4 linked regions of the Arabidopsis thaliana genome follow. The protein of the gene in region 3 binds, or shares a complex with, the protein of the main gene of each other region. Each region holds a gene or a part of one and is shown on either strand. Other genes may lie near its edges.

What was found.
Region 1: ATL5 (region 3) and STV1 share a complex: the UniProt entries of both Arabidopsis thaliana proteins name them as parts of the large ribosomal subunit.
Region 2: ATL5 (region 3) and AT5G45775 share a complex: the UniProt entries of both Arabidopsis thaliana proteins name them as parts of the large ribosomal subunit.
Region 4: ATL5 (region 3) and RPL16A share a complex: the UniProt entries of both Arabidopsis thaliana proteins name them as parts of the large ribosomal subunit.

The regions. Positions count from the first base shown.
Region 1 is NC_003074.8:19,658,285-19,663,652, reverse strand, and holds STV1 (Ribosomal protein L24e family protein), read left to right. Parts: upstream 1-1,627; 5' UTR 1,628-1,740; coding exon 1,741-1,751; intron 1,752-2,129; coding exon 2,130-2,205; intron 2,206-2,302; coding exon 2,303-2,404; intron 2,405-2,508; coding exon 2,509-2,657; intron 2,658-2,750; coding exon 2,751-2,904; 3' UTR 2,905-3,165; downstream 3,166-5,368. Other genes in the region: SRPK4 (ser/arg-rich protein kinase 4), read right to left, coding at 4-936, 1,047-1,241. UniProt on the Arabidopsis thaliana protein: Might have an extraribosomal function in reinitiation of translation of ETTIN and MONOPTEROS genes that are involved in the auxin-mediated gynoecium patterning.
Region 2 is NC_003076.8:18,563,311-18,568,939, reverse strand, and holds AT5G45775 (Ribosomal L5P family protein), read left to right. Parts: upstream 1-2,357; 5' UTR 2,358-2,443; coding exon 2,444-2,446; intron 2,447-2,469; exon of another isoform or gene 2,470-2,535; coding exon 2,536-2,643; intron 2,644-2,738; coding exon 2,739-2,781; intron 2,782-2,868; coding exon 2,869-3,064; intron 3,065-3,460; coding exon 3,461-3,659; 3' UTR 3,660-3,948; downstream 3,949-5,629. Other genes in the region: AT5G45780 (Leucine-rich repeat protein kinase family protein), read left to right, coding at 1-25, 100-171, 271-330, 409-482, 564-710, 801-1,139, 1,221-1,612, 1,701-1,994; RLP55 (receptor like protein 55), read right to left, coding at 4,095-5,372. UniProt on the Arabidopsis thaliana protein: Component of the ribosome, a large ribonucleoprotein complex responsible for the synthesis of proteins in the cell.
Region 3 is NC_003074.8:9,267,734-9,273,777, forward strand, and holds ATL5 (ribosomal protein L5), read right to left. Parts: upstream 3,733-6,044; 5' UTR 3,595-3,732; coding exon 3,592-3,594; exon of another isoform or gene 3,442-3,591; coding exon of another isoform or gene 3,439-3,441; intron 3,219-3,438; coding exon 3,149-3,218; intron 3,057-3,148; coding exon 2,838-3,056; intron 2,743-2,837; coding exon 2,663-2,742; intron 2,578-2,662; coding exon 2,461-2,577; intron 2,345-2,460; coding exon 2,040-2,344; intron 1,952-2,039; coding exon 1,840-1,951; 3' UTR 1,544-1,839; downstream 1-1,543. Other genes in the region: AT3G25510 (disease resistance protein (TIR-NBS-LRR class) family protein), read right to left, coding at 1-199; GLYR1 (glyoxylate reductase 1), read right to left, coding at 4,216-4,299, 4,406-4,576, 4,647-4,725, 4,815-4,930, 5,057-5,158, 5,243-5,344, 5,424-5,534, 5,677-5,781. UniProt on the Arabidopsis thaliana protein: Component of the ribosome, a large ribonucleoprotein complex responsible for the synthesis of proteins in the cell.
Region 4 is NC_003071.7:17,789,301-17,794,460, forward strand, and holds RPL16A (ribosomal protein large subunit 16A), read left to right. Parts: upstream 1-2,391; 5' UTR 2,392-2,493; coding exon 2,494-2,496; intron 2,497-2,574; coding exon 2,575-2,682; intron 2,683-2,768; coding exon 2,769-2,811; intron 2,812-3,157; coding exon 3,158-3,353; intron 3,354-3,447; coding exon 3,448-3,646; 3' UTR 3,647-3,842; downstream 3,843-5,160. Other genes in the region: AT2G42730 (F-box/FBD/LRR protein), read right to left, coding at 306-620, 706-846, 1,001-1,918; AT2G42750 (DNAJ heat shock N-terminal domain-containing protein), read left to right, coding at 4,104-4,352, 4,600-4,728, 4,822-4,951, 5,029-5,149. UniProt on the Arabidopsis thaliana protein: Component of the ribosome, a large ribonucleoprotein complex responsible for the synthesis of proteins in the cell.

The sequences.
Region 1 (5,368 bases), about 10 Mb from region 3:
TACCTCATCTCTATCATAATTGTCGCCACTATGGGGATCAAATAGCACATCTCCAGTGACAAGTTCAAAACATATGCACGCGAATGACCAGAGATCTGCAGATGTAGAGTATTTAGATCCAAGGATTACTTCTGGACACCTATACTGTCTCGTTTGAATGTCGCTTGTGAACTGTTTGTATGTCCAACACGCATTACCAAAGTCAACAAGTTTACACTTGAGGTCAGCAGATGCCACAAGGTGCCTTCGACTTGATCGACTCCCTTTCTTACCACCCTGCTTTCCTTTCTCGCTACCATCTAATTCAATTGCGTCAGAAGTAGAAGGACAATCTTCTTCAACCGATTTTTCTGCAGCACATTGTTTTCCATTAACCGGTGATCCCACTCCACGAACTTTATCAGATTCCGTATTGCCCTTATTCTCTGCATGTCCCTGAGCCGAAAGCTTTGCCTTTCTATGACTTCCTGTTTTTTGATTCTTGACAAAATCACCATTGGAGTCAACAACTGTATTATCCTTATCAGTGGGGAGAACAAGAGGAGCTCCAGACTTCCTCGGATCTTTAGACGGATCAATAGTTGACGGTAACAAAACATTCTCAGGCTTCAAATCAGTATGTATAATCGAAAGCTGTTTATGCAAGTAGTCTAAACCAACCAACATATGATAACAAATCTCCTTAACCATAGGAATAGGTAAGCCACGGTAATCAGAATACTTAATCAACGTTAACAGATTATCTCCCAAATACTCAAAAACCATACATACATGCTGACCATTCGGACCTGAGTGTTTGAAATGATCCAAAAGCTTCACAACACATTTGGTATCATCAGTGTCTCCCTCTGCAATCTGTTGCAATATTGTTATCTCATCCATGGCTGCTTCAGTATAATGCTGAGCACTCTTTTGCACCTTCAAAGCCACATATCTCTGTACATTCGATATACGAGTAAGAAAATCACACAAACAAAGCAACGAAAAATTAATCTCTAAAGCATTTCAAGCAATTCGTGTGGCGAGAGAGAGAGATAGATGCGTACAGAGGATTGAGTATCCCAGGAGAGCCAAACAGTAGAGAAATGGCCCCAACCGAGTTTGCTCTGGACAACGTACCGGCCGGTTTTGAATGAGTCACCGATCCGAACGGCGTGGTAACCGCCGCGTCGGTAATCTTCTGTACCTTCGTCCTCCGACGTGTATTCACCACCGTCGCTGTTCCACTTCTCCGCCTCCATATTCAGTAAATCTAGACGCAACGCGAGACAAACTAAGCTCTCTACTCTTGGAATATCCGGCGACGATTCAATCCAATTTTGTGGATCTCTCTCTCTTTTGATTTGATTTTTTCTGGAAGCTTGTGCAGAGAGAGAGCTTAGCTACTTGTTCAAACTTTCATCTACCTTTTACGAAACGTCACCGTTTTTTAGGTCCATTGACAAGTTTCCTCTACCGTCGTCGGCTATGGGAAAAAATCAAAAAATTATTGGAGGAGAGCTGACGTCATCACTACAAAAATATATGGGCTAATAAAATTATGGGCCTATTTGTGATGGGCCTATTTAGTGGGCTTAAAGTGTGGGCCAGAATAATATATATAGACGAAAATGGCATTGGGTGAAATGTGAAGTCTCTTATATATAAGTATCGAGAGAATTAGGGTTTTCTAGTCTAGTGTTTCCGGGAGCAGCCTGAGCAGGAGGAAGAAGACGAAGAAGAAGAGGAGCAGCTACTACCATGGTTCTCAAGTAATCAAATCTCACCTCTCTCTCTCTCTCTGTATCTGTTCCTGTGTTGAATCTATTAACATCGCCTAGTGATAATGATTCATGATTTCACACTATCGGAAGGATCGATTCACTGAAATTGACTCTTGTTTCAATCGGAATTTATGATATGTTTTGCTTTACCGTTAGCTAAGCTGGGTAATTTCATGGTCTCTGTGTAGCTGGATCTGGTTCTAAGTAATAAAAGTATGATACTTCGTTAATATCTGTGATTAGTCTGTATTTGGTATATGGATGATTCATTTCTATCATGTAGACTGAGATTTTTCAGTGTCAAAGATCATTTGGTTGTCATTTCTAGTTGCAATGTCTCATTTGTTTATTATCTATGAAATACAGGACGGAGCTTTGTCGTTTCAGTGGACAGAAGATTTACCCAGGAAGAGGAATTAGGTTTATCCGATCTGATTCTCAGGTTGGTTCTTTTATGAATCTTCAGCTAATCAAATTGATTTGTTTATACTTTGCAAATGTTTTGGTTTTAGTCTTTTAATGGTTTGTATTGTTTTCAGGTTTTCTTGTTTCTTAACTCAAAATGTAAGAGGTACTTCCATAACAAGTTGAAGCCATCCAAGCTTGCATGGACTGCCATGTACAGAAAGCAACACAAGAAGGTAAAAAAAAAACTCAGTAATTTGGATCTGTTTTGTTGTTTGTACTTTGTTTTTTTTCATTGATCCTGATTTGTTAACATTCTAAAACTCTGTTTCTTTTATAGGATGCAGCACAAGAGGCTGTGAAGAGAAGGAGACGTGCCACCAAGAAGCCATACTCAAGGTCCATTGTTGGTGCTACCTTGGAAGTAATTCAGAAGAAGAGAGCTGAGAAGCCTGAAGTTCGTGATGCAGCCAGGGAAGCTGCTCTGCGGTTAGTTTTCTCCCTCTGTCAAATCATCCAACTAGGATTAAAATAGTTATATTTGACTTAATAAATGTATTGTGATGATGATTCAACAAACAGTGAGATCAAGGAAAGAATCAAAAAGACCAAAGATGAAAAGAAGGCTAAGAAGGTGGAATTTGCTTCTAAGCAACAGAAGGTCAAGGCTAATTTCCCCAAAGCTGCTGCTGCATCCAAGGGTCCTAAGGTGGGAGGTGGTGGTGGCAAACGCTGAAGAGCTTAAAGCCATCTTTTCTCACTCTGCGTCTTTTCTGCTAGTAGCTACTTTTAGTAGTTGATGTTCATTTCTGAATATTTGCAAAACATAAACCTTGTTATTTCGTTTTTGTCTCTCACTTTTGCTACTCTTATAATATCAGACTTGAGAATTTTGCTGCTTATGAACTTTATTTCACTGCTCTCTCTTGTCCTCCTATCATTAAAATCAGAAGAGTTTGTGTTCCTATAATAACTCTTTTTAAAACATTGTTTACTATCTTGCTACGCAATCTCATATCACCCGGTTGTGTTCAATAGCCGATTCTAATTGCAACTACTGAGCTAACAGCAACCTTGGTTATGTATCTTATGCTCTTTTGCTAAAATCGATTTAAGGATTGTTGTGAACATGTGACAACTTCAATTGTTACGGATTGCATCAGAACTGAAATTGCATTGTAAGGAACACCATGAATATTGGTTGATTTTTTCACACTGTTCAGTTAATTCATTTCAACAAGATTTATGTTGTTGGTCAATAACTTTAGCAATAAATTTACTTGTGGAAAATTTTCACGGGGCCAAAACATAACATATGTGGTTGGAGAAATATTTCGTTCATGCATGATCCTTGTCCCCCAAAAAGCCATACTCGCTTAAGTACATTTCGATACATTCGAGATATGATAGAAAACTGTTGTCCCTTTTGTTCGATTCTATTGTATTGTATAATAAAACTAAGCTAAGTTTTTAAAATTTTGGATAATGGGTGCTAATTTTTACTAAAACTTTGGGAATGTTTATAGTTTGTGTATAAGTATGAAATCCATATAATCTGTTGAAACAAAAACGTTTCCTAAGTTTATTTTTTATTTACTGATTTATGAGTTTTAACTTTATAAAATAAAATTATATAATTTAAAACCGAAGCGATTTTCTTTGGCTTAGGTTATATTACGAAATGGGCATGTGAAACACTATATAATGGAAGGAGGTAAGAAGAAGAAAATGATAACTCTACCACATTACCACCATTCTTACACCTTCCTTTTTCTTTCTTTTCCTTTTCGTTTGATTTTGGAAAGCAAGGGACTGTCGTCTCGGTTCGCGATCCACAAGTAATCTTTTGTGGAGATTATGAAAACAATCATCACGAGAGGCTACGTGTGGGTGGCAAACAAAGACGACAATCCCTATTCCAGTTCCATCAGAACTTGAAATATCATGTGAACTCTTGTGTCCCAACAGACACTTTACTACGGTGATGAAACTTGTTTGTTGTTAAGTGGGCATAGAGAACCAACCGGCCTCAATAAGTGTTAAGGTCATAGAAAAACGTAGACTGATCATCTAAATTCGTCATGAGCCTCTGTGGTAGCCCTCACAATGATCTCAATAGAGTGCATGCCACGATCTTGTAAAGACGTAGATGAGGGCTCCTCAGGTGTTCATGTCGAATGTTAGATGATGTATGTTAAAGTTTCTTACAACTCTACATCGTTAACACTTTAATCATAAATTGATATGCAGGTTTTCTGATTTGGAGAGGAGAGCTGTTTCATTGAGAGTTTTTAACTGTCTCCATGGTCAAGATAAGTAAGTCACATATTTGGCAATTATTGATCTCGATAAGTTCTGTCCCTAGCTAGAATCAAGAATGGGATCTTATATGTGGCTATCCAAACTCATAATTCATAATGATTTTGGTTAAAGAGTATTCGTCAAGCCAAAATATTAGCCTCACAATTTTAATTTTGATTGTTGGCTATTATTATGCTTCTGCTGAGTTTTGTCAGGTTTTGGTAAAAATAAACTAAAAGTCAGAAACCGCAATTGCAACATCTATAGGTATATAATATATTAGTAATAACCTCCTTTTTATTTTGATCGGTATATTTTTTGGCCATGATTCTTGGCTGTTACGTGCAAATGTAAAATGCAAGCTTGTTTGCTTTGGTACAATGTGTACTGTGTTCCACTTCTATTGTTCCTTGTGAAACAAAGAGCTCAAAACGTTTCTTGAATAGCCTTTTCTTCCTCTTTATTCAGTAGAAGTCATGTGTAATGTATAGAACTTGGTGCGAGTTGTTATGTCCAAATAAAAATTCCTTGGTTTGCTCAAAAAAAACAAAAAACAAATTAAAGCATATTTGGCCTACTCTATTTGCAGCTCTATACACTCTCTCGGAGTTTGTAAGTGATTTGGAAATGTTCTATGTTTTCCTTTAAGCCCAAAAATAGGGAAGGCCAAAAACTCACTCTGATTCTTTGGTAAAACTCATGGGAATATACCTAGTATAATTGAAAAAGTAAAAACTAATGATAAGAAAGCACTAATTAAGTAAGGAAAGAAAATGTATCCTATACGAAAATGAAGTATAAAAATAAAAAGCAAAAAAGAAACAAAGAGTGAAGAACTCATCACTCACTTGCCCACGCCGTCTTGCATATTCGCTCATCATGATCTTATTCCTCTCTTT
Region 2 (5,629 bases), on a different chromosome or scaffold from region 3:
GGTTCTTAACTCACTTAAACTACTTGTGAGTTTGATGCAAAGATTCTTGATTTACTTAATGTTGCAATTGTTATTTTCTTACAAGGTTAAGTCTTGTAGGCGGCTTAGCAGGAATCTTTTATCTGGGCAAGTCCCTCACCTCGTCGCTGGCCTCTCAGGTCTTTCTTTCTTGTATGTCTTACTCTACCTAACATTACAGCTCCAGGAAATTTCTATTTCGTATAATGTTTCTTAGACTAATGTTTTTTTATTTATGAAAAACTTGAATAGGGATCTATCTTTCAACAATCTAAGCGGACCAACTCCGAATATATCAGCAAAAGATTACAGGTAAGATATGCGAAAAATGCATGATTATTAGCCGTTGCAACTTATGTGAAAGCTTCTTGATAAACTTTTCTGTTTTAGGATTGTAGGAAATGCATTTCTTTGTGGTCCAGCTTCCCAAGAGCTTTGCTCAGATGCTACACCTGTGAGAAATGGTATGTTGCTTCGAAAATTCTTTGCAAAACTTTATTTAAAACATGGTTTCGTTTATTTAACTAGCTGCAATCGATCTGCAGCGACGGGTTTGTCTGAAAAGGACAATAGCAAACATCACAGCTTAGTGCTCTCTTTTGCATTTGGCATTGTTGTTGCCTTTATCATCTCCCTAATGTTTCTCTTCTTCTGGGTGCTTTGGCATCGATCACGTCTCTCAAGATCACACGGTACATATCTAATAGTCTCTCTCTGTCTGTCATATACAATATATGTCAAGACTTTGCTAAAATCTGCATTACTTTTTATGGATTTCTTAGTGCAGCAAGACTACGAATTTGAAATCGGCCATCTGAAAAGGTTCAGTTTTCGCGAAATACAAACCGCAACAAGCAATTTTAGTCCAAAGAACATTTTGGGACAAGGAGGGTTTGGGATGGTTTATAAAGGGTATCTCCCAAATGGAACTGTGGTGGCAGTTAAAAGATTGAAAGATCCGATTTATACAGGAGAAGTTCAGTTTCAAACCGAAGTAGAGATGATTGGCTTAGCTGTTCACCGTAACCTTTTACGCCTCTTTGGATTCTGTATGACCCCGGAAGAGAGAATGCTTGTGTATCCGTACATGCCAAATGGAAGCGTAGCTGATCGTCTGAGAGGTTTTCAATTAACACATTTCTTGTTTTGTTATTCTTTCGATATATAACGCGAAAAGTTCCTTATAAGATTACATGTTTCAGACAATTATGGAGAAAAGCCGTCTCTAGATTGGAATCGGAGGATAAGCATTGCACTCGGCGCAGCTCGAGGACTTGTTTACTTGCACGAGCAATGCAATCCAAAGATTATTCACAGAGACGTCAAAGCTGCAAATATTCTACTTGATGAGAGCTTTGAAGCAATAGTTGGCGATTTTGGTCTAGCAAAGCTTTTAGACCAGAGAGATTCACATGTCACTACCGCAGTCCGAGGAACCATTGGACACATCGCTCCCGAGTACCTTTCCACTGGACAGTCCTCAGAGAAAACCGATGTTTTCGGATTCGGAGTACTAATCCTTGAACTCATAACAGGTCATAAGATGATTGATCAAGGCAATGGTCAAGTTCGAAAAGGAATGATATTGAGCTGGGTAAGTAAAAAAATTCTATGAGTCATTTACTCAACTTAGACTGAACCCATAAGGACAAAACTTAAATCTAAACCATTGGTTTTTGTAGGTAAGGACATTGAAAGCAGAGAAGAGATTTGCAGAGATGGTGGACAGAGATTTGAAGGGAGAGTTTGATGATTTGGTGTTGGAGGAAGTAGTGGAATTGGCTTTGCTTTGTACACAGCCACATCCGAATCTAAGACCGAGGATGTCTCAAGTGTTGAAGGTACTAGAAGGTTTAGTGGAACAGTGTGAAGGAGGGTATGAAGCTAGAGCTCCAAGTGTCTCTAGGAACTACAGTAATGGTCATGAAGAGCAGTCCTTTATTATTGAAGCCATTGAGCTCTCTGGACCACGATGATAGACTTCATAGTGTCTTAACTAGTCTTCTTGATTTTGTTGTCATTGTCATGGCATTAACTGTAAAAATTTGTTTTCTCAATAACTCTTATTTATTCTGTTCTTCCAAAAATAAATGAAGATTTGCGTTTCCACAGTCTCATAAAAAATTATCTATCGTTAATTTTAAAACTCATACATAATAAAGTGATTCGGCGAATGAAAGACTATTTGCCTTATGTAACTAAGAAGGCCAAATATATGCTTAAGATTATGCTTTTCTTATGGGCTTTATAATATTGGCCCATTAAACCATTTTAATAAATCAAAGGGGTAATTTCGTCATTGCGTTAATTCAAGAAACCCTAAGTACCGACCCATATAAGTTCTCTCACTTTGCACTCGACGCAGTTTTGGGCTTTGCAAACTCTACACTGCTTCGTCTCTTAGCTCGACATTGATCTCCTTAAAATGGTATTTGTTTCGTTCGTCTCTGTAGATCGATTCAATGAAAATGTGTTTAGTTCAATGGGTTTATTTTTCGGCTTTGTTTTGTTTCTCAGGCGTCGGAGAAGAAGCTCTCGAACCCCATGAGGGACATTAAGGTTCAGAAACTTGTTCTCAACATTTCCGTTGGTGAGAGTGGTGATCGTCTCACTCGTGCCTCCAAGGTTCGATTTTGTTTGTAAAAATCTGACCTTTACGATTATCCATCATTGATTTAGTGATTTAGATTTGAATTATTGTTTTTGGTTATTTCGTATAGGTGTTGGAGCAGCTCAGTGGACAAACCCCTGTCTTCTCTAAGGGTATGTGAATTTGAAATCTTTCAGGGATTTAAGTTTGATTTTGTGTTGATCTTGATTCTGATGTATGTTGTGGTTTTTGTTATACAGCGAGGTACACTGTGAGGTCTTTTGGTATCAGGCGTAATGAGAAGATTGCGTGTTATGTGACTGTGAGAGGTGAGAAGGCAATGCAGCTTCTTGAGAGTGGTTTGAAAGTTAAGGAGTATGAGCTTCTTAGGAGGAACTTCAGTGACACTGGTTGCTTTGGATTTGGTATCCAAGAGCACATTGATCTTGGAATCAAGTAAGTTTTCTGTTTCTTTTGCGATGAAAGTTTCCTTGAATTAGTTACATTAATGGCTTTGTATAATGGTTTTGGTACTTGGATTCTTCATGTATCTGTATATGTTTAAAAGAATTTCAGTTGCATCTAAATGTCAAGTCTCTAAATTAGGGGTTTTGTGAGGTTTAGTCAGAATGCAGACTACTTTGGTTTTCGCTGAGTGTTATAGTTTTTGTGGAATTTTAAGTATGGATTGGATTAAAAATGAGCCCTTTACTAGTTTTTGGTTGAATGCTAGATTTGGGTCTAGTAAAAGATGAATGCTTTACTGTTTTTCAAGGGTGTTAGATTCGAAACTGATTAACTGGTTTATTTGAAATGTTTACTGTTCTCATGTGTTTTATTTTGTGTATATAGGTACGATCCTTCCACTGGTATCTACGGAATGGACTTTTACGTTGTCCTTGAACGCCCAGGATATCGTGTGGCTCGCCGCCGTAGATGCAAGACTCGTGTTGGTATTCAACACAGAGTAACCAAGGATGATGCAATGAAATGGTTCCAGGTCAAGTATGAAGGAGTTATCCTCAACAAGTCTCAGAACATCACTGGTTAAAAAGTGTTTTGATCTTTAAAGATTTTTGTTGATTCTAGCTTATTTTAAGTTGTTATCTTTGGATGTTAAAGAATTTCTTGTTGTAGTAAATCTTTTGACATCAGTTTGGTAGAATCTAAATCTTCCAAGAACCTTGGAGATATGTTTCTTATTTTATTCAATGTCATCATCAAAACTAAAATCAATCAAAAGCAGCTCCTTTGATTTCATTGTCCTTATAGATGAATATGTCTCTGGACTACACAGTCCCTAAACTAACCCTATGTTTTGAACAAATTTGTATAAATAAAACTAAAGATACTCATAACCACAATTCATAAATACACTCATAACCACAATTCATAAATACTAAAACAGGAGAAAATAAAATAAAACATTTAGAAGGAGAGAAGGGTGAATACACAACCAATACAAAATTACTACGTCCCAGACTTCTCAAATCAAACGACACCTTTTAGCGAGATAAAAGAGGAAGAGGATTAAGAACACAAGCGAGAAAAGACCAATGCCGAGACCAAACAGAGTCTTGTTGGAACCTTTGTGTTCTTCTTCTTCTTCTTCCTTCGTCTTCAGATTCTCCGTCTTCTCCTCATTGCCTCCTTCAACGTCGTAATCGTTTTCTCCTGACAAAGATTCCTCCTTTTGCGACGGAGACCATAAAGGAAAACCGTATTTATCACACGGAGCAAGACCCTCCAATTTCAAGTTCGAGGAGAGAACAGTTTTGTTATAACAGAGCTCACTGTTCCTTCCAATTTCGAAAAAGTTGAGATTTTTGATGAAGCTTTCGTTGAATGGTAAAACTCCATGGAAGGAGTTATCAGCGAGATTCAAGTGTTTGAGGTTCTTCATCTCGGAGAAGAAACTTGGAACGGTTCCGTTTAGTTGATTCATACTTAGATCCAAATGTGTAAGTTCAGAGATAGATGAGAGTGAATTTGGGATTGTTCCTGATAGTTTGTTTGAAGCTAAAGATAAGTTTTTTAGAAAAGTTAAGCTTTTGATTTTGTTTGGTATTTGGCCAGAGAGAGAGTTATGAGATAAGTTTAAGGACTTGAGGTTTTTGAGACGAGTAATGGAAATGCGTATTGAGCCTTTGAGTGAGTTGTTTGATAAATCTATGTATCTGAGATTTGAGTGGAAAGATTTAGGGATAAGGCCAGTGAGATTTGAGTTTGAGATAGTGAGGGAAGTGAGTTTATGCATGTTTCCGAGGATGACATAAAGACGACGAGAGGTTTGGATTGGGGTTGAGGAAATGTAGAGGGTTTTGAGGTTTTTGAGACGAGCGAGGAAGAGGCCGGAGAGTTTGGTACGGTTGTTTTGGAGGAAGGAGGAGACGGCGGAGAAGGAGTGGAGGGAGATTGGGAGGTGGTATGGAGGAGAGAGTGAAGGGCAGTTAGTGAAAGAGAGGGAGATGAGAGATTTTGAGAGTGGTTTGAGTGTTTTGGAGGGGAGAGATAGAGTGGAGGAGCAGTTTGTGAAGGAGATTGAGGTGATGTGGCGGTAAGGAGAAGCGTCGTCGCAAGTTATGGACGAGGAGGAGGATTGGTTGTTGTTGTTGTTGCAGGGATCATTAGTTGGTGTAGAGATGTTGAGTGATTGGAGAGCTTTGAGCTGTTTTGGGTTTAGTGGATAGGAGGAGACGGTGGTTAAGAGAAGTGGGAGGAGGAGGAGGAGGAGCAATGGCGGTTGTGGTTGCTGCGGTTTCATAGTGGACAGAAGAGGAATGTTGGAAAGATTGGAATTTGAAAGAAGGGTCTTGTGAGTTTGTCACAGTTTAGAGACTTCTTTACTCTTAAAGAGGGAAGTGTTTGATTTGTTATTTTTCCCCAGTCTCTTAATTTTCTAAGTCTCCGTAGTATCCAAATAGAAATTACTTGTTGCTCTGAGTTGAGATTGTTAGAATGGTAGGTTATTTTTTGTTATGATTATAACATAATTTATTGAAAAATAAATTGGATTTCAAC
Region 3 (6,044 bases):
CATCAAGACAAGGACTTGGATAACATTCTTTGATATTCACCATGATTGTGCTCAGTTGGAAACTCTTGGAGACTTGGCTTAACAGAAACCTAGCGATAGTGGTCTTACCAATCCCAGGCGGACCCCATATCCCAATCATCCTCACGTCATCTAAATCTAGGCGTAACAATGCTCGCATATTTTCCATATGAGCTCCCATTCCAATCAATGCTTCGAAATCCCTTGACGGTGTAGCATTAATCAACTTGTTTAATTAGAATATTCCAATCAATATTTTCGATCATGGCCGCTTCATTATCCCTAACATTGGAGGACATCAATATGTCAGTTAATTAGTCTAGTCATGAAAAGTATCATACGCATCCAAAAACATATGTAGTTGCATGTCTTGACTCTTTAAAAGCTACAAACAAATATAGTTTAATATGTTTTTAAATATTTAAACGAGGGCAAGTAGAAATCCAAAGGGCTAACCAGTTGCTTGAATGGTAACCAGCGATTGTGGCCACACCCTCCAAAGCTTTTCTCCATCTCTTTATCTCTTCCTTTGTTTTACCTTTGCAAGTTTCTTTGAAAACCTTCCCAAAATCTCCGGTCTGTTTCTTTATATGAGTTGGATCAACTTCATAGAAAATGGTTATCACTATTTGACCCAAGTCTTCCTTGCACTTCATAATCTCCACCAACTCGTTCATGCACCACGACGAAGAAGCATAGTTCCTCGAGAGCAAGACAATCGCAATCCTTGATCCTCTGATAGCTTCTACGAGCTCAGGACCGATTGACTTACTCCTCTCGATACTATTATCAATAAATGGGTCAATTCCCTTTCCTCTGAACGCCTCTAGGACGTGACTAAGAAAGGTTTTTCGAACATCTGCCCCATGGAAGCTCGGGAAGACTTGGTGCTTCCAAGTTCGAGACAAAGAAGATGGAGGAACTGATGAAGGGGACAAAGAAGCAGAATCATCTTCTCTGTTATCTTGTTGGAATTTGAATTTTTTTAAAAGGGTTAAGAAGCCTATTGCAGCTGCAAGAGTACCAAGGAAAAAAGAAGAATTCATTAGTAAGGTGAAAAAAGGATCTAAGACTAAGCATACATGGTAGAGGAAGGATTAACAAAGAGACGTTGTGTATATTGAATACAGATCGTTGACTCTGTTGGTAGAGAAAGAGAAGCTTCATGGCTGTTACCTTTCACCATAAAAATTTATGGAAAATTTTGCTAAGGACAAATCGTGGTCCCTTTCATGTAGGGCTCCACCATTCATGTAATTTACTTGGAATCCAAATAATACACATCATATTCTCGATTATATACTAAAGAAGTCACGAGAGAAATTAAATTACGTATTAGTCAGCTTCCAGGATAGTTCATACTTCATACTACAGAGCAGATAAGTCATTCCTACTTTGCATAAGACAGTTCCAGTACCCGATAAGGCTACATATAATAATAGCTCCAAGAGAATACTGAGTTATTTCCTTAAACAGTGATTTAGCTCTAAACTTGTAGTAATGTGATCTAGTTCATCTTGTAGCAATGTTTTCTAGTTCATATAGATGAAGTCTAACAGTTCTTACATTTAACAATAGCAAACTACAGATAAAATCAAGTCATCAAACTATTGTCATACAAATTCTTGAAAATTATGATGAAGGTAATAATAAGATAATGATACTTCAAAGAAAATGTATCCTCAATATCAAAATCCTCGAACACAATTAAAATGTGAACACAAAAGCTGAGTGTTTTAGTCTGAAAACAGAAAATTTGAGGCATTAAGCTCAAAAGATAAAAAACTACAAGAGGCATGAGATAAAGAAGGCTTGACTGATTTACTCTTCATCGTCCTCATCATCATCATCACCACCTGCTCCATTCAATGCCTTGACTCTCTCGATCAACTTGTTCTTCCTCTCCTCGTAAGTAAGTTTCTTCAAGTTGTACCTGTTTTGTTAAATGGAAGACCAAATGAGACACCAATACACCAACAAGACAAGAATATAGATAGACTAGATTGATTCTGTTTCCCTACCTCTTGTGTTGCTTGGGAGCAGGTTTCACGGTTTTCTTTGGGTTGGGGTCAGCACGAATAGCTGCGTGAACCTTCTTGTACAACTCCTCAATGCTCTCAGCTTCAACTCCTTTCTTGATGTAAGCACTGAAGTGAGTTTGTAACTTCTCTGGCTCATCTTCTCCCAACAGCTTCATGTAGTTTGAGACATGGCCACCATAGATGTAGTTCCTGTGGATTTCAGCATCAAGTTGCTTGTTCTCCTTGTGGAACCCAGCAAATCTCTTGTCACTGTGAGGGATATCAAGACCACCATCCAAAGCACCCTACAGATTCAAACAGCGAACCAAAAGGATATTAAAGAATTGCCAGTATAAGCATTTGCTCAAGAAGAATGACAAATAAGAGCACTCACAACAAAAAAAGAGAAACAAGTTAATACCTTAAGAGCACCGAACACACGGTTTCCTGTTGTGGTCCTGATAAGTCCAACATCAAGAAGAGCACGGAAAGGTCTCCTTGAATCAGTTGGCTCAACGGAAAAGTCTTCTCCAGTGGCCTGATTCATTGTGTGACTTGAGTTTCTAACAAGAGACAATAACAATGCTTCTTATTATCAAGATGAAACCAATCACACAACATACCTCAACGTTTCCCTCATACTCGTCATCCATTTCCAACATCTTTAAAACACGGCGAGCCAAAAGAAGGCCAGTACAGTAAGCTAGTTCAACAAAAAAAAATTACACATAAGTAAGCCATAAAGACAGAATCAACCATATTAAATTGGAAAACAATACCAGATGACACATTCAATACCTGCAGCATAGTTTGTAAGACCAACAGTGAGACCATACTGAGGCAGTTCATGTGCGTAAGCAGAAGCTTTAACAATGTCACCAGCAATGCTTGCAGATACAATCTGTGCCACTATGTCTTTGTTGGTAAACCGGACAACAAAACGATACTTAGGAGTATTGTACTTGTTCTTGTCTTGGTTGATAAGACGGATCCTTGCCCTGTAGTCAGTCTTTCCATCTACACAAAAATAAAATAATTTTCAGAAACAGATTGAAACAAAGAGAGAACAAACAATATCATCAGAATAAAACGAATCAACAATCTATTACCTCTTCTTCTCCTGAACTTCACTTGGTACCTCTTGAAGTAAGCATTCGACTTGGTGGACTTCACAAACACCTACCAACAACAAATCATCTTATTTTATTAGTCTAAGATCCAACAATATAAAGGTTCTTCGATGGTAACAAAGATCTACGGTAAGAACTCCATTGAATACGTATCAGTGACCTCTAAAACAGAACAAAAGCAAAGTCTCAAACTTTTCCTATTTCAATTCTCAAGCAAGTTATAAAACCAAAAACCCATGAAGAAAAACATCTACGAAGGTGGATAGAACCATAGGATCACGAATTCTCGTTACGATATCTAATCAAAAGCAATGCAGGAGATTTCTATATGAAATGAAGATCAAAACCCGATTTTCTTAAGAGAAGATTAAGAAGAAACGATTGAGAAATGAGAAGAGATAGAGATTAAAGCTAGGGTTTACCATTGTTTGATTCCTCTAGCAACGAGAGGCTTTGCTGTGAGATTGTGAGTGAAGAGAAGCAAGAGGCGGAATGACCTAAATGCGACATCTTATAAGACAAAACCCTAGAAAACTCCTCGTGGGCTGAAAAATGTTAATGGGCTTTACTAGTTATATTATTAATGGGCCTATGGGCTTTTACATTCACACTCCAACGAAATCCAATTTTCTACTGAAATGGTCTCCTCCTCTCCTCGTTTGTCTATAATCCATAGGAACATTTCTCTTGACCATCTTGATGCAATGTTATTTCTTTGATCTTCTCATCTACGGGTTCTTTTTTGCTTCCTTTGTTTCATATAACCTTAACAGTGACCAACTTCAAATAAACTTTGCTCTATTTTATTGGTTCTGTTTCAATCAATTTGATCTACCTCTGGACCAATATCGAGTGAACTAGCCATAAAGTAGTTGAAACGTAAGGTTGCAACTCTATGAACGTTTCTGGATATGTGGTTAAGACTTTTTATTTGGTGAAGGAGTAAAATGTGTGTTTGGCCAAATGAGTAAATCTCTATTTGGGAAGATAACAATGATTTCAGTATCTCAGCCAATCCAAATGAGTGGATGTTTTGAAACAGTTTGCTATTCGCGGGAGAATTTCACAGCTTCAATCACAGCAGAGAAGTCGAGATCTCCTAGTCCCAAGCTTCTCGCCTTCTTAAAAGCCTGTCGAGAACCGAAACATATATTTTAAGATTCAAGCTAAGAAACCAATCTAGAGGAGGGAGAGCCAATATGTTATTGTCTCTGAGTAACTAACTAACTAACTGACCTCGTTTGCAGCCGCGGCTACAGGCATGGAAACCGCGTTTTCATCGCCAAGAGCAAGAGCTAGCCTCATGTCTTTCTGCTGATGTTTCAATGGAAATGCTGGTGGGTAACTACTCTTGTTCATTGAAGGTCCTTTCCCCTTGAACATCGGGTTAGTCATTGCTCCCAGATCCTGCCCATAGCAGAAACCGATTCAAACCAACACCATTATTTCAGAGCTTGCAAAAGTTTGATCACCTCACCAGAATATCCAAAAGAGTGTCAGAGCTAAGTCCACTCTTGTCAGCCAATACAAGCCCCTCAGAGAATGCATTCATCATGCTGTATCAGACGAAAAACAATAAGATCATGAAGCCATGTTCCATTCCTACTACTAATGGTAGTAATTGTAAAAGAGACGGGACATTCACCTTCCCATTATCATGTTCACTATTAGCTTCATTTTAGCTCCGTTTCCAACTTGTCCCAAGTAAAACGATCTCTTCCCCAAGACATCAAAAGCTGGGATTGATTCCTCAAAGAGTGCCTTACAAAAAAGGATTAAAACACAAACGGATTATAGCCGCACATCGAGAGCTCCTTCCTACTAAGTCCAACTAAAACAGTTCTTGAGATCTATCAATCAATCCATAAGTACAGTTTTGAGTTGTACCTTGTCACCAGCAGCAAGGATAATGAGTTGGCCATCTTCAGCTGGCTTTTTGCTACCTGAAACCGGACCTTCTACGAACCGACCACCCTTCCCGGTGATTGCCTACCAATGCGCAACACAGCTCAATCAAACTAATCAACCTTCTTCTAATCTTATCATCAGCATCTAAAGTACAAAAGATTCAACCTCATTGATCTTCAAAGAAGTCTCTGCATCAACAGTCGACATATCGATATAACCTTTTCCTTCACATATCTGCTCCAAAACACCGCCTTTATCGAAAACAACCTAATCAAACAACTACTTCATATCATTCATCACCAATGCTAAAACACACACAAAAGAAGCAAAAAAGGATTTCAAATACCGAAAGAGCAGCACAAGGATCAGAGAGCATAGCAATAGTGTATTTGCATTTCTTGATTACTTCAGCTGGACTCTCACATACTGATGCACCATGCTCCACAAGCTCATCACACTGTCACAATCATCAAAAATTCCCAAAATTGCATTAAATTACTCAAAAAGTTTCCGACTTTATCAGATCTGAACAACTAAAACTAAATCAGAAAACCATAATACCAAAACACAATCAAAGACAAAAAAAAAAAAAAAATTACCTTGGAGAGTGTTCTGTTCCATACAGTGACTTTGAATCCATTCTTCAATAGATTCATTGACATGGCTTTTCCCATGATTCCCAAACCCAGAAACCCTACTTCCATTTTATCTATCTTCTGCGATTATAGTGCTTACTTACTGCTTAGTGATGATGGTCTGAGAATGATAAAGCCGGAGCCTTTTCTAATCAGAGAACCATTATCATCAAATACACTTACTTTGAAAAGGAAGTATTTACAGTTTACTCCCTACAGTTTGATTCTGTTTGCATCTCTAACTGCCAGTTATGAACGAACAGGATTTCGCCACGTGTTTGAAATAAGAGGGATTTTGGGTTTTGATTGTTTCTCGAATATTTTTGGTACGA
Region 4 (5,160 bases), on a different chromosome or scaffold from region 3:
TTAGTTAAACAGATTCAGAGAAATTCAGATTCAGGTTTTGAATGTAACTGTATTAATGTGTTAGAGACTTGGGTTTGAATGTATATGACATTATATTACTGCTTCTTAATATGGCAGATTTTGAATAAAGAAAAGGTTTCACGAGAGAAGATTAGAACACTAATATGTATGACAAAAGCTTTCTTCTTGATTCAATGAAGTCACACTCATTTCAAATCCATAAATAATAAAGCTTACTTAAGTACTATAGTTGGTTAAACTCACAATAATATGACAATGTTTTGCTACTAATCACATCACTTGGATCAGTTATTTTTTGTTAAAACCTTGACTTGGATCTTACACTTTGATGACGCTCTTGGAAGCATCATAAGATTCCTCATTTCCATGGTGGTTTGCAAGTTATTACTGTTGTTTACCACGCAAATTTTCACTAGCTCAAGACACGGTAACTTCTCCAAGAAATGCTTCATTTGATTCAGCTCTCTTGTCGTTCCTTGATAGCTCAATATCTCCAGCACCTTCACTTGAGATGATGATAGGCAAGAGGTTATGCTCTCGTCGGTATCATAGCAAACACATACATCCCCACATCTGTTTGTTATGTAGTGATCGAGACCCTGAAGCATAACAAAGAAAAAGAGTAATGTTAACGACCTACCAATATATATATGGTGTTTAGGATGTGTTTGTGACATGAGATACCATGAAGATGAGGGTTTCTAGGTTTGGAGAGTTCTTGATCAGAAGTGGCAGCATTTGCCATCCTCTTGCCTTGTCATTCCCAATAGATAGACTAACAAGGCTGTCGAACAATGGCATTTCTTTACATGAGAAATAAAGCAGCTTCAACAAAACACAATGTGTTAGTCTGTTGTCACTCAATAACACAAAAGTTGAAATAAATCATCAAAAGCCCCAAGTGAATCTCATTCTCGATAAGCAAAAAAAAAGAAGAATGTTATTTATAAGGAAAGAACAATATATAGAGGAGGCTGACCTCTAGAGTGTGGCTAGATAAGTGAAGGATTCTAACATTTCTGATTCCATTGATGAGATTTCTCATATCAGCGGGAATGGAACCGAGAGATCCATTTCTTACTCCCACCATTCTTGTTTCATCCATCCGAAGATTGAGTCTAGCTTCGATGAGGGAATCCAACTTAACATTAGGATACTTACCCAAAACATAACCAGAGTGTTTGTAGTAGATAAGATTAGGAGCATCTAATGAAATACTAGTAAACTTGCGATCAAATCGGATGTGTAGTCTCTTTAGAGATGGAGAAGACACGGAACAAGTCCAATCTACACATCGCCGCTCCTCAACAACCAGTTCTTCGAGAACAGGACAGCGAGATATAAGAGTTCCAACAACATTATGACCTCCAACAAAATTAACTGAGTCAAGACATAATGTCCTAAGCAAAGGAAGAGAAACATCTTGAGAAAGCTTGATTGTAAAACCACGTCCTACTCTCAGCTTAACCAATGTCTTGCTCTTAAAGATCATTGCAGGCACTGGTGGAGATTTTCCTTTTAAAGTAATGAACACATCAAGATCCATAACACCATGGTCAAGAACGTTGCAAATCCAACTTTGAATGCGAGATGAATCAGTGCCACCTCGAACACCAACATGACTCTTTAGAGTGAGCTTCTTTATAGAAGAACCACGTTGCGTATCTAGCAATTTGTCAACGAAAGCCATGTAATTTCTGTGAATCTCAATCCGGTTTTGCTTAGTCTTAGGCACAGATTGACGATCATCAATATCAAGATTGGAAACCAAAACAAACATGTTCTTCCACCTCTTAGAGAGTACTGAGGTTGAAACAGCTTCTTTTGTGGAGATAAGAGACAGAATACGCCCAAGAACCTCATCTGGTAGACGGCTGATTACATCTTTAGCATTCATTGATACCAAAACCTTAAAACCACAGCAATTGGATTCAGAAACAGTAACTAGACAGAGTTGATGAGTTCAAAGGTCTGTTCTTTTTCATACAATGCAAAGTCTAATACAAAAGTTATCATGTATCTCTTCAATCACATTGATTACCATAGAAATGAAAAAGACGAAACAGAGCAGACAACATACCTTGCTAAAGTGCTACTTGCTACAGAGTCGTGAAAGCTCTCCACTTTCAATACCAATTTAATCGTGAGATCAAAAGTGAAAACATCGAATACTAGGGTTTTGGAAAGTTTAAGAGAAGAGACGAAGAAACTGAAACAACTTATTATAAGCAATTTCCTCCATTTCCACATGAGGAAAGAGTAAAGCAGAAAGACTGATGAAGAAAAGGTAAGTAGTCTGTTTGGGAAAGAAAGTCACGTGAGAGAAGCGTGGGCCTTTAAGGGTAAAACTGTCATTTAAATAGTCGCCGTTCTTTACACTTAGGATTAGGGCTTCTAACATTTAAATAGTCGTTTCGTTCTCCGTCTCTCCTTTCCCGTCGGCCGGTGATAATTTCGCAACCCAAATTCCAAATGGTAAGTTTCAGTTCTTGGATTTGTATGATTTTGTAATGTGAATAGGGATTTGAAGATTTACTTACTTTTGAAATTCAGGCGTCGGAGAAGAAGCTATCGAACCCAATGAGGGACATTAAAGTGCAGAAGCTGGTTCTCAACATCTCCGTTGGTGAGAGTGGAGATCGTCTCACCAGAGCCTCCAAGGTTCCTCCTGTTTTTTACCCATTCTCTGTGGTTTTCACTCTTGTTGTCACTTGGTTATAATCGATTGATTCGTGGTTACTTGGTAGGTTTTGGAACAATTGAGTGGTCAGACTCCTGTTTTCTCCAAAGGTTAGATTTTTTCTCATATTTGAAAGCTTACAAATAGTCTGGTTGATAGATTTAGTAATCTAGAAGAATTTGGGAAACATAGTTTAGTTAAGTCTATGAATGGGTGCATGGTTTGATGATGAATTTGAGATTTTGGAATCCAGTAAGTCCCTTATCTGGTGGTTTGTGATAACTTGATAAGCCTACCAGTCCAAATTAGGAGCTGTTCGTTTCCCCGCTTCTGATATAGTTGCGTTGTGCACTCTGTTTTATATGCATCGCTTTTGGTTTGCTCTGAGAGACATGATTTGGTTTAGCTTCTTCCATTGCAATTTTCAAGAACCCTTGTTATGTGTGGCTTTTGCAGCTAGATACACTGTTCGTTCTTTTGGTATCAGACGTAACGAGAAGATCGCATGCTATGTAACCGTCAGAGGTGAGAAGGCAATGCAACTACTTGAAAGTGGATTGAAAGTCAAGGAATACGAACTTCTCAGAAGAAACTTCAGTGACACTGGTTGCTTCGGTTTTGGTATTCAAGAACACATTGATTTGGGTATCAAGTAAGTCAATCCCCTTAAATCATCCTGTCATAACACTTGGGGTTCACCACATTCTTGGTGATACTCATTGATCTTTGTTTCACTTCTTATAAAGGTACGATCCATCAACTGGAATCTATGGTATGGACTTCTATGTGGTCCTAGAACGTCCTGGCTACCGTGTAGCACGTCGCAGAAGGTGCAAGGCTCGTGTTGGTATCCAACACAGAGTAACTAAAGACGATGCAATGAAATGGTTCCAGGTGAAATACGAAGGAGTCATTCTCAACAAGTCCCAGAACATCACTGGCTAAAACAATTCCTCCTAACTCTTTCTTCTGTTTTAGAAAACCCTGTCTCAGTTTTGTTTACTTGTCTGAATCTTAATCTTTGTACTTTATATGCATTATTGGCTTTAGTTTCAGTTATTTAAGTATCTAATTTCGTGTGAGGATAAGCAAGATAAGAAAATTTTGGCGGGTAGTTGAAGCGTGTGGAGACATATAAATCCACTAGCTGACACGTGCCACGGACGGCTAAGCACGCTTTCGCCGATCGCCGATCGCCGCTAGATTCATCTCGGATTCCTCCAAATAAGCTTCCCTGGTTCTTATCTTGCCACGTCAGCATTTCTCCCTCGTACGCCTTAAATTCTTCACAAAAATAATAAAAATATTAATTCAAATAAATGTTCATCTTCTCCTACGAATGAAATTGAAATTAATTTGAGCGATCGGAACAGGATCGGGTCGGATCTTTTGAAGTTCTTCAATGGCGCAGATACTTTCCCCTGTTTGTACGGATCTTTTGAAGTTCCAGAACTCAGCTCTTAGCTCCAGATCAGGTGCGTCGCCGCGGTTCTCGGCGAAGACCACCGGTGCTTCTTCATCTTGGTACTTACCTCGGTACGCAGGAAAGAGGCGAACCGATTCAATCGGAAGATTGAGAGTTGCAACTGAGGATGCTTCTTCTCTTTCCACCGGTGATGTCGCCGATGATTACTATGCCGTTCTCGGACTCGTAAGAACCAAGGCTATTTCAATCCGATTTGATATATGCATATAGGGATTTTGAAGTGATGATTTTTTTTTTTGGTTTAAGTTGTTTGCTTATGATTGAAACTTCTTGTGTATCATGGAAAAATACTCTGCATTTCATATGGTTGTAGCTAGATTCATCTTTGTCGAAATTGTGAAGCCTTTGACAGGTTACAATCATTAAGATCAAAGATTGTGACTTTAATAACTCTCCTTTGCTATGTCAATAGCTTCCAGATGCTACGCAGGAGGAGATTAAGAAAGCTTACTATAACTGTATGAAATCGTGCCATCCAGACTTGAGTGGCAATGACCCCGAAACCACAAATTTCTGCATGTTCATTAACGATATCTATGAGGTGAGTTTTTTACTTGACTTCCTTATAGATTTTTGTAAGCGTTTAGTAAGGTCCATATGCTTTTTCGTTTAATGATTTACCGTTGCATTGCAGATTCTCAGTGACCCTGTACAGCGTATGGTTTACGATGAAATTCATGGGTATACAGTGACTGCCATCAATCCTTTTCTTGATGACTCCACCCCAAGGGATCATGTTTTTGTTGATGAGTTTGCTTGTATAGGTATTCTTTCTTCAATTTAGAGGCTGCGTGCTTTGATGATCTGGAAAGTGACTACATTTGCGTTTGGTGTTTAACAGGCTGCAAAAATTGTGCCAATGTGGCTCCAGATATATTTCAAATTGAGGAAGACTTTGGTAGAGCAAGGGCTTGTAATCAGCGTGGCAACCCAGATTTGGTTCAGCAAGCAGTTGAAACATGGTAGGTTTATA